Linked DNA regions of Oryctolagus cuniculus. The protein of the gene in region 1 purifies or fractionates together with the protein of each later gene. This does not show direct contact. Links are inferred from orthologs where the notes say so. Each region holds a gene or a part of one and is shown in the gene's direction. Other genes may lie near its edges.

Region 1 (3,646 bases):
AAATAAATGGCTTTAAAAAACTCATGGCTCTAAATATAAAACAGTATTCTTCCTATTTTGATAACAGACTGTGGGTGCTGCTTGGAATCCTGGCTGCTCCACTTCTTCTTTTTTTTTTTTGACAGGCAGTTAGACAGTGAGAGAGACAGAGAGAAAGGTCTTCCTTCCGTTGGTTGACCCCCCAAATGGCTGCTACAGCGCCGATCCGAAGCCAGGAGCCAGGTGCTTCCTCCTGGTCTCCCATGCGGGTGCAGGGCCCAAGTACTTGGGCCATCCTCCACTGCACTCCCGGGCCACATTAGAGAGCTGGACTGGAAGAGGGGCAACCGGGACAGAATCCGGCACCCCAACCAGGACTGGAACCCGGTGTGCCGGCGCTGCAGGCAGAGGATTAGCCTAGTGAGCCGCGGCGCTGGTCATTGCTCCACTTCTGAGCCAGCTCCCTGCTGATGCACCTGGGAAAGCAGCTGAAGATGTTCCAAGTGTTTGTGCCCCTACACCCACATGGGAGGCCTGAATGTTGGTCTGGCTCAGCCCTGGCTGTTGTGGCCACTTAGGGAATGAACCAGTGGATGGAAGACCTCTTTCTCTCTGTAACTCTTTTTTTTTTTTTTTTTTTTTTTTGACAGGCAGAGTGGACAGTGAGAGAGAGAGACAGAGAGAAAGGTCTTCCTTTTGCCGTTGGTTCACCCTCCAATAGCCGCCGCGGCCGGCGCGCTGCAGCCGGCGCACCGCGCTGATCCGATGGCAGGAGCCAGGAGCCAGGTGCTTTTCCTGGTCTCCCATGGGGTGCAGGGCCCAAGCACCTGGGCCATCCTCCACTGCACTCCCTGGCCACAGCAGAGGGCTAGCCTGGAAGAGGGGCAACCGGGACAGAATCCGGCGCCCCGACCGGGACTAGAACCCGGTGTGCCGGCGCCGCTAGGCGGAGAATTAGCCTAGTGAGCCGCGGCGCCGGCCTCTCTGTAACTCTTGACTTTCAAATAAGTAAATACAATTTTTAAAAGAAGGAAACAAATAGTGTGGTAAAATGTCAAGAGCAGTGGCCTCAGGGACGGAGCCCTGGCTTTTGGCTCCGGAACAATGTGCTGGATCCTCTCCGGCAGCGCTCTTGCCCCCTCTGAGCCTTGTCTCCACATCTGCAGGGGTGTGTGTGCTCAAATTCCACACAGCTGCAACACCAGTGAGCTTCAGATACAAGTTACTGGAAAGTCAAAGATGCATATATGTACAGATTATATCTCTTTTAGAATCATTGGGCAGCTTTTGAAGTCTGTAAATTTCAGACTGTGCTCACACTCGCTGTATGGTACGGAGCAAAACCGGAAGGCAGCAGTGTTGCACTTGTGATAGTGGGAGGTGGCTGGTGGCTTGACCCATGCTCCTGTTTCCTACCTGCCCCGTCTCCACAGGAGGGCGCAAAGGAGTACGCCATGCTCCATAACCCCCGCTCCAAGTGCTCTGGCCGGCGCCGGCGAAGGCACCACGTGGTCAGTGCTTCCTGCACCAACACGTCGGCCTCTGCTGTGGCTGAGACTAAAGAAGGAGACAGTGACAGGGACACAGGAAATGACTGGGCCTCCAGCTCTTCAGGTACAGTGACAGAAAACGAGGGCCTTTCCTCCCTGTGCGAGGACACCGGCCAAGCCGAGACCTCTCCTCACACTTAGGGTTCCCGCCTTTTTGGGCTGCTCATGCTTGCCGCGAGTTCACCTGCAGCCAGTGGGGATGGGGAATGTTTTCATTAACTGTTCTCCCATTGCGGTAGAGCGAAGTTCTGTGTGCAGCCAACCGCACACCACCTTCTTTTGTTTCTGATTTTTTTCCCTCTCAGAGGCCAACTCCCGCTGTCAGACGCCCACAAAGCAGAAGGCCAGTCCTGCCCCGCCGCAGCTCTGCGTGGTGGAGGCGCCGTCGGAGCTTGTGGAGTGGACCGGGGCTGAGGAGTCGCTCTTTCGCGTCTTCCATGGCACCTACTTCAACAACTTCTGTTCCATAGCCAGGCTTCTGGGGACCAAGACATGCAAGCAGGTACTGTCTGGCAGCTGCAGAAGCAGCGCTGGCCCCTCTTTCACCGTGGCTCTGCCCGTCGCATTGCTGTCTGGCGGGCCTGTGAGTCTGGCTCGTGCCCCTCGTCAAATGCTGGGCCTGGCAGCACTCGGGGCTCTGCCCTCCCCGCTACCACCACTGAGTACTTCTGGCTGGGCCCACGCTCTGGTTGCTTCTTCTGCTTCCTGTCTTTGCTCCTGAATGTGTGCTGCTTTCCTGGAAGCGCCTCTCGGGCCAGCTGTGGGTGCCGTAGCCAGCGCACTGCCCCGCCCTCCGTCAGCCTCCTAAGTCACGTACTGTCCAGATTCTCTACTTCTGCCCCCAGCAGCTGGGCCTAGCCTTCCCTCCGGACTCAGACCACCCCTAGAAACAGTGCGACAGCAGCCCCTGGTGCTCTGGAGACTGCCAGACTGAAGACCCGGGGCGGGGCCTGCGCACAGGGCTCCCTCCCTCCTGGCCTCCTCCTCTCGTCTCCTTCACTTGGGATAGTCGAGAGGACCGTGAGTCCCCTCTGCTTTTATCTTGGAGCTCATACCTATTTCCTTAAGGTATAGGTTCCTAACTAACCTAAAAGGCAACAGAATTGTATGCAAAAAGAAAACATATGTTTTTTCCTGAGGATGAGAACTGTAGTTTCCATAGAAATCTCAGAAGGGCCCATAGCCAGCAAGAGAAAGGAGAGGGTAAAATGAGAGCTGTGAGAAGCTCGGGGAGGGCGCTGCCCTCTGGAGCTGCTGTCATACCGAGTATCATGCTCTGACATCTTTGTACCAACAGGGGGCGCTAGAGCTTAGCCCCGTGTACCCACTCCTGTGCGCTGCCCGCAAAGTTCCCTTCCTAAAAAGAGGCAGATAGAGTTGGTGAGACTCGGCCTACCACGGCGTGGCGGGCAGGGAGCTGGCGAAAGCGCTGCCTGCACGGCGTGGCCGTGTTCGGGCGTTTCTGCTGTCCTGCGCCCGGGTCAGCTGTTAGGAATTAGCCCCAGAGCCAGGGACCTGACGTCCTGGTGGCTCTCCGTCTCTCCCTCGCTGAAATGCACGCAGGCAGTTGCCTGTGAGCTCCACACAAGCCTCCTGAGCCCAGCTCCTGGCTGGGCCGCCCGCCCGAGCACAGGGCTGGAGCACGAGTGACGGCCTTGTTGCGCTTCTCTTCCAGGTCTTTCAGTTTGCAGTGAAAGAGTCACTTATCCTGAAGCTGCCAACAGATGAGCTCATGAACCCCTCGCAGAAGAAGAAGAGAAAGCACAGGCAAGGCTTGGACAGAGGCCTTTTGTGGCCAGGCTGGGCTCTGGGCTCCGCCCTCTCCTTGGGCTTCCCTTCTGCCCCCTGTTGGGCCCCTGTATGGGGCCATGTGAGACCATCCTTTTGCCTAGGGGCAGCTTCTCGGGGCTCGGGCTTGCTGAGGCCCTGCCCCACTCCCCCAGGTGCCTCGGACTGTGAGATAACTTTCTGGTTTTCTATTGAAGCTCCTGGCCAGTGGGAAGTGGGCTGGCCCCACGGCCCCACCCTGAGACCCTTCCTCCTGGTTGGGTGGTTAGTTCCCGCCTCACCCACTTCTCAGCTCTGCCCCAAGCTTACTCCTTCTCCTTGTTTTTTGG
Region 2 (3,646 bases), on another chromosome or scaffold:
ACAGTGCTTCTTAGGAAGATTCTATTACTGACCTGTAATTACCTGTGGTCTAAATTTTGCTGCTTAACCCCACAACAAAACAGATCACTTTTATGGCAGCCCTAACATTGTTCTTTGTTGCCTCCTTTTCTCAAGTGTTCCTGTTTCTGTTTGAATGTTTCTTGTGAGATTTTGTGTGTGTGTGTTGCCCTTCATTTTAAGCCACTATTCCCTGCAGAAGTTTCATTTTGTCCAGGTACATTGATTAGAACCTAATTTTCTAATATTTTTGTTTTTCAGTTTATCTGAAAAAGTTAGAGTGCTGTTTCACTCCCCAGATGGACACAAAGGCCAGGCCAAAGCAGGAGCCAGGAGTTTCTTTCAGGTCTTCCACATGAGTGTGGGGGCCCAAACATTTGAGCCATTCTCTGTTTTTCCCAAGCCATTAGCAGGGTACTTGATTGGAAGTGGAGCAGCCAGGACTCGAACTGACGCCCATATGGGATGCTTGCACTGCAGGTGGTGGCTTTACCCACTACACCACTGCGCTGGCCCCATGAACCTAATGTTCTAATTGTGGTTTTGCCGATTAAAAATAAATGGGCTTGTGCCCATTGCCCCCTCAATAAGAAGACCATTTAAGATGAAATTACTTTTTTTTTTTTTTTGACGCAAGTTGCTATTGCTTAGCCATGACTGCCTTGTTTTGGTTTTGGAGTTGTATGTTTATTTTTTTTTACCAGTGAGTCAAATCTTGGTCAAGTTTCAGCTTGTACTAGGGTACTTCAGAAAGTTCAAGGAGGGGAAGAAAAAAGATCTCCAAAAAAAGGAAAGACAATGTGGGGTGTGTGTGTGTGTGTACACAAGTTCATGGAGGGGGGGCAAGCATTGTGGGGTAGAAGGTAAAGCCACTCCTGCGATGCTGGCATCCCATATGGTTGCCAGTTTGTGTCCCTGCTGTTCCACTTCAATCCAGCTCTCTGTTAATGGCCTGGGAAAAGCAGCGCAAGATGACCCACATGCTTGGGCCAATGCACCCATGTGGGAGACGTGGAAGAGGCTCTTGGCTTCAGCCTGACCCAGCTCCAGCCTTTTGCAGCTATTTGGGGAGTAAGCCAAAGGAATGGGCGATATCTCTGTCTCTCTAACTCTGCCTTTCACATAAAATAAATCTTTAAGATTTGCAAAATTTGAAATTCGCATAGATTTTTTATGTAACACATTTTCCATGAGCTTTTTGACGACCCCACATATTTCTTAAGTAAGTTGCATGCCTTGGAAGTAACCTTCAAACTTTTTTTAAGCGTTCAGTCTTGTACAAGTGAAATTTAGAAACAGATAAGTGGTCTAATTTGTCTGATGTTGGGGGCTAGAGCCTTACTTCTCAGTCCTCCATTTAAAGTTTCTTTTCTAGATGGTACAAATGGGAAAACATTGTTGATAAGAGACTGATGTAAAAATCACTGCTTGGACTATGGTGCCGAGGTACATTGGCAAGTTCTTCAGCCTAAAGGCGAGTTTTCACAGATCAAGGCAGCAAAGACTCCTCAGTAAAATTGAGAATGCAATTTCATAACCTCGAGGAGTCATAAACATAAATATGGGGTTTTGTATCAGCCATTTGCAGTTATTACCTATTTGTTAGGTGAGGAAACTTGAGGCCCCAGGGAAGTTGTGATTTAAGCCATTGGACAAAGCTAATTTTAGTTTCAGAGAGGATTTAAACTCAGTTTTTCTGACTTCACACTTTATTCTTTCCATTTTACCTGGTTGCCTCTCATAGAGAAACCAGAAACATCTAATATTAAAAATAGGACTATGGCCTGAAAATACATTTAGGTGGGAAATCATGATTTATGAGTGATGGGCAGTAGACTCCTGTGTTTGTGTTTTCTTTCTGCCTACCTTCTGAGTGCTGCTGTAGACAAGTGTTCACATTGATAATTAAAGCAGAGGAGGATGGCTCTGTAGGAAAGAAGCAAACCCTCTGCATGTTGTATTCTATTTCCTTGCATTTTTATTTTATTTATTTGAAAGGCAGAGTTGGAGAGACAGAAATCTTCGATCTGCTGGTTCACTACCCAAATGGCCCAATGGCCAGGCCAAAGCCAGGAGCTTCTTCTGGTCTCCCACATGGGTTCAGGGGCCCAGGGACCTGAGCCATCTCTGCTGCTTTCCTAGGTGCATCAGCAGGGAGCTGGATTTGAAGTGGAGCAGCCATTACTGGGATGCCAGAGTCACAGGTGGCGGCTTTTACCCTCTACACCACAACACAAGCCTGCCCTTGTATTTTTATGTGTGGGGATTGTAAAGTTAGTTACTAGAGGGGGAATAGGTACATAGAACAGCGTTATATATATCTCTACATATATTTGTTAAAGAAATTTTAATATGTTTTGAGAGAACTAGACTGGGTTTTTTAGTAACTGAAGATTTCTTGTAGGATGAGTGTGACTTATGTTCTTTCTTAAACAGACCCGAAGGAAAAGATTATGCCCTTCATTGGCTAGTCCTGGGGACTCATACATCTGATGAACAGAATCATCTGGTGGTTGCTCGAGTACATATTCCCAATGATGATGCACAGTTTGATGCTTCCCACTGTGATAGTGACAAGGGTGGTAGGTATATCATATATTCCAACATTGATGTTTAAAGAAGTGTGCCTCTTTAAAAGCATATGTTATTAAATATACTTATACTGTTAATTTTTGGTCCAGCAGCTTAACTTCTTGGACTTTATCCTACAGAACTGCTCACCCACATGTGTGCAGAGATTTCACATTATCATTATTTACAGGATTGAAAAATTAGGACCAACCCAGCAGCTCAGAATTTGGTTCATCGGAAATTGGTTGAACACATTATGGTATATTTGAAATGCTACTAAGCAATTAATGAGAATGAGAAAAATCCATATATATGTACCAGTATGAAAAGGTGTCCAAGATAATTTAACTGAGTAACTGGCATGAATAATTATAATATTCCATTTTGGTAACAGTGGCAATATGTGTTGATGTGTGCATAGAAAAAAATCAGGAGGTATGTATACCAAAGAGTTAATAGTGGGTTTATTTATGGGAAAGATGAGCAGTAGTAGAGTTAATTTAGGAAGCTTTTGAAAATTTCTTTTTTCTTATTGTCAAATACACACAGCCCCATTTTGGTATTCTCACAACCACCCTTAGTTTGGTGATTTCCATAGAAGGAGCTACAAGACTCTAGCCATTGGCAAGTTCAGGAAGGTCAGGCACAAGTCTCACTCAAGGCCACACAGGATGTGCTCTTTCTCTGGCAGCACACTGTAGTGACATGGATAGAAAACCTCTGCCCAGGGAAGCCCAAGTGAATCTTGGGGTTTGAGGCTTTCTTGGAGGACTGGTTGCACAGGCACATCTTGCTGGTAACCAGCCATGACAGCTGAAACTCAGGACCCCGGTAATGAAGCAGGCACATTATCGTCAATCTTGCTATTTGTACAGAGCAACCCTGACAAACTGGTACAGCATGGTCCATTGCTCCAGGTGTGTACCACAAAACCATCAGTCTATCAGTAGCGTAAAGAACATTGTGAGGTCCATGTTCCCAGGAGTTGGCCAAGGGTCAGTAATGGTCCCAGTGTCCTCCAGAGATAAAATGGCTAGGCAACCAGACCTGCTGAATT
Region 3 (3,646 bases), on another chromosome or scaffold:
GCAGGAAGCCGGGGAATCGCATCAGCTCCTTCCTGAGCTTCCTTACGGCAGGGGTAGGCGGTGCGGAACTCAGACAGGCAGAGACGCTGTGGTTCCGTGTTCCCCAGAGGCTAGCAGAGATGGCCCTCTGTCTGGTTCTCGTTTAGAGGGCTTCTCCAGCATCTGGTTTTGGTTGAAAGGCTTTGGCTCACTGTGTGGGTCAGATGTACACAAAAGATGATTCTCGTATGTTGTGGGCTGGCTGCGGTTTCGGTTTGGCCCTGTGAGCCAGGATGACCGTGGCCGTGGTGGGCAGTGACAGCTCCTAGTGCCCAGCCAGCCCTGTCCCTGCCGTATGGGACCCCTCTTGTGCTAGGCCCGGTCCACTTTGCAGACCTGGGTGCTGCCTCCCCCAGGGAGGTGGGGATGGGCCCTCCTGTGCACAGTGTCCTTAGCAAGCCTGGACTTTGCCTGTGTGTGCTACACCACAGGTATTGCATTCCTGCTGAGGAGGAGAACAAGCTGGAGGGCGTGGTCCACACCCTGCTGCAGGCCAACGGCACCCCCGGGCTGCAGATGCTGGAGAGCAACGTCATGGTACGTCTCCCCCCGCCCCACGGCTTCCCAGGGCCTTGTCCTTGGGTGCTCAGAGGCTGTGCTGCGGAGTCGCCCTTCTTGCTGAGCAGCCTTTCACGGGCTCCCATCACATCCCACGGGACCCTGGGTGGTGGACGTAGGGAGTGTGCCTGGCTGCCTGCAGGTTTGTGTGGCCCCTGGCGAGGGGCCTCGGTCAGGGCAGTGGCTCTGTGTGTGCCTGTGCTATACCAATTGAGCCACCAGCAGGAACCAGCTGCTCTGGGTCTCTCTGGCCTGTGCTGATACTGTCTGTGCCTTGGGCTTGTGACTCTGAGATCCTGGGCTGTCCGGCACCTGGAGGATGACAGCGGCCCCTCCAGCAGCCTTCTGGCTATGTAATCGGCCCCATGCCTGATTCCTGGCAGTGCTGGGTGAGGTCAGAAAGGCTCGGGGTGTGGTTCCTGGGGTGGTGGGGCCAAGAAGCCGGCTCAGCCTGTCACTTTGCGGCCAGTGTTGATTTAGAACTATTGCTGCATTAGGAATGATTTCCTGCTAGTTCTAAAGGAGAAACGAGGCCGTGGGAGGAGGGCAGGGGACTCAGCCTGGCCCTGTTCCCCAGATCTCGCCAGAGGTGCTGTGCAGAGAGGGCATCAAGGTGCACAGGACGGTGCAGCAGAGTGGCCAGTTTGTCGTCTGCTTCCCGGGCTCCTTTGTGTCCAAAGTGTGCTGTGGCTACAGCGTGTCCGAAACCGTGCACTTCGCCACCACCCAGTGGACGAGTATGGGCTTCGAGACTGCCAAGGTGAGCAGGCCCAGCTGCCGCCCCCATAGCACATCCTTGCGTGTGCGCGTCTGTCTGAAATCCTGAAGCGTCGGCTGGGAGGATTTTCTGGGCAAGTTTTCAAGGGGTCGGTTGGCACTGACTAGTGTCCTCCCCGAGCTGCTTCAGGGTGAACAAAGTAAGCGGCAGTAAACCCCTGCTTTTTCTCACGATGCAGCCTCCGCCTCACGTGGAGGCGCCGCGACACGGTGTTGATGCCTTTCTCCCTTTGAACAAGATCACTTGCTGCCCATAGCTCTTCATTCCTGCTGCTTCCGGTTTGGAAATCCAGGTCGTCGGCCTGCTCCCTCCACCAGCAGCCGCCTGGACAGCAGCGTGCTGACCTGATGTGCTGTGATTCTGCTTTTAGGAAATGAAACGTCGCCACATAGCCAAGCCCTTCTCCATGGAGAAGTTGCTCTACCAGATCGCGCAAGCAGAAGCCAAGAAGGAAAACGGCCCCACTCTCAGCACCATCTCTGCCCTCCTGGATGAGCTCAGGTAAGAGCTCCGGGCCGGGGAGTGCGGCTGCCCGGCCCTGCAGCAGCCGCTCCCTGGGGACCTGGATTCGTTCTCTCCCTCGCTCCATGCTCTGCTGCGCCCAGCTCTCCTGGTGTGAGCGGGAGGTGGGCCCTGCTGACTCTGCCGTGCCTCGCCCGAGAGGGCTGTGGCCAGGTAGTGAGGGAGAGCTGTGGCGCCAGCACTGGCCTCTGCACCCCAGCAATCGAGGATGGTGTGGCGACTGACCCACAGTGCCTGAGCGTGCATCTGCGCCATCCCACTCGGGGGGGGTGTGAGGGAGAGACACCCCAAGAGCACCAGATAGTGTGGCTTCCTGCACAGCCCGGTCCTAGCAACCGGTTGTGAGCTTTGCCATTTCTGCCCCTTCCCAGGGGTGTGGGCGGCAGGCAACAATTGGGATTCTGCCTGTGTTGGCACAGCTTTGATGGTGACACCAACACAGGTTTGTTAAATCTGTCCCGGGCTCAGAGTGGTAGAGGGGCCCTAGCCACAGCCAGGCGTGCTTCTGCCCGCGAGGCACCTCGGTGGCTCCAGCAGTCTGGATGGTTCTGACGTTGTGAGTGACTAAGGGACGTGGGCTGCAGCTGGGCTCCCACCCGCGCGTGTGCACTGTGTGGGGCAGGCCGGCCCCCTGCAGAGCTGGTGGAGTGCCGGCCTCTGTGTGGCCCGCAGGGACACGGAGCTGCGGCAGCGCAGGCAGCTGTTCGAGGCAGGCCTCCACTCCTCCGCACGCTACGGCAGCCATGACGGCAGCAGCGCGGTGGCGGACGGCAAGAAGAAGCCTCGGAAGTGGCTGCAGCTGGAGACGTCGGAGCGGCGCTGTCAGATCTGCCAGCACCTGTGCTACCTGTCCATGGTGAGCCCTCCCCGGGGTGCTGGGGCCCTTCCTGGCGTTCATCCATCTCTGGGCTCCACACTCCGCGCTCCTCACTTCCTTCCCGGGAGGTCGTGCAGGGTGGGCTAGAGTGGCCCCTATGGTCCTTTGGTCATGTGACCCTCTCACACGTGGGATTCTGTTCAGGTGAAACTTCGTGCCCTGCTCATGGTGCCAGCACCCTCTGCTCCGATGTGCGCCTTGTGACCTTGCATCCGCCCATCTTGGGCTCCATTTGCCTTGACAAACTGGTTCCTGTCCGCTCTCTTGCTGGTCAAGTCCCATCTGCCTCCTTGTGGCCCCTGCCAATCCAGATTTGGTCTCAGGAAGGTGTTCCTCCTCTCCCGTCCCCAGCCCCCAGGCCAGCGTCGGACAGATGGCACTGGTGTGGCCCCCAGCCCTCAGTGGGCAGCCGCCCTGATACGGCTCTGGGCCTTGGGGCACCCCCAGCCGGGGCTCACAGTGGCTCCCTGGCGTGGAGGGTAAGCTGTCTGTCAGTCCTTGGCCCTGTCTCGCTGTTGCTCCCAGAAGCCACAGTGACTGGAACCGTGTGGCAGGACTTTGTGCCCCTTCTGTCAGTGCTGGGCCGGGGTGGAGATCAGGCCTGCCTGCCTCCCCCCACATCTCCATCACCTCCCCTGCGGCCCTGTGCAGAGGCCCAGACAGCCACTTCCAGACGAGTCCCCTGTTGTGTGTGACACTGAGAAGAGGGATCAGTTCACTTCCCTGGTGGGGGAGCCACTTCCGGGGTGCTGGTCTCTCCCCACGTCCCGTGCTCTGGGGTCACAGAAGTCCCAAGCTCTCCCCAGCCACAGGGGTGGTGCCCATGTGACGCTGGCTGTGCTGCGCAGGTGGTCCAGGAGAACGAGAACGTC

What was found.
Region 2: the proteins of EZH1 (region 1) and RBBP7 purify together in Homo sapiens (affinity purification with mass spectrometry; 4 studies listed by BioGRID and IntAct, with this or other methods). This does not show direct contact. The link is inferred for Oryctolagus cuniculus from reciprocal best matches to the Homo sapiens genes EZH1 and RBBP7.
Region 3: the proteins of EZH1 (region 1) and JARID2 purify together in Homo sapiens (affinity purification with mass spectrometry; 4 studies listed by BioGRID and IntAct, with this or other methods). This does not show direct contact. The link is inferred for Oryctolagus cuniculus from reciprocal best matches to the Homo sapiens genes EZH1 and JARID2.

The regions. Positions count from the first base shown.
Region 1 is NC_091448.1:20,190,004-20,193,649, forward strand, and holds part of EZH1 (histone-lysine N-methyltransferase EZH1), read left to right. Parts: intron 1-1,412; coding exon 1,413-1,593; intron 1,594-1,834; coding exon 1,835-2,031; intron 2,032-3,204; coding exon 3,205-3,296; intron 3,297-3,646.
Region 2 is NC_091453.1:3,021,536-3,025,181, reverse strand, and holds part of RBBP7 (histone-binding protein RBBP7), read left to right. Parts: intron 1-2,454; coding exon 2,455-2,600; intron 2,601-3,646. UniProt on the Homo sapiens protein: Core histone-binding subunit that may target chromatin remodeling factors, histone acetyltransferases and histone deacetylases to their histone substrates in a manner that is regulated by nucleosomal DNA.
Region 3 is NC_091436.1:155,241,250-155,244,895, reverse strand, and holds part of JARID2 (protein Jumonji), read left to right. Parts: intron 1-470; coding exon 471-576; intron 577-1,174; coding exon 1,175-1,357; intron 1,358-1,745; coding exon 1,746-1,876; intron 1,877-2,569; coding exon 2,570-2,753; intron 2,754-3,622; coding exon 3,623-3,646.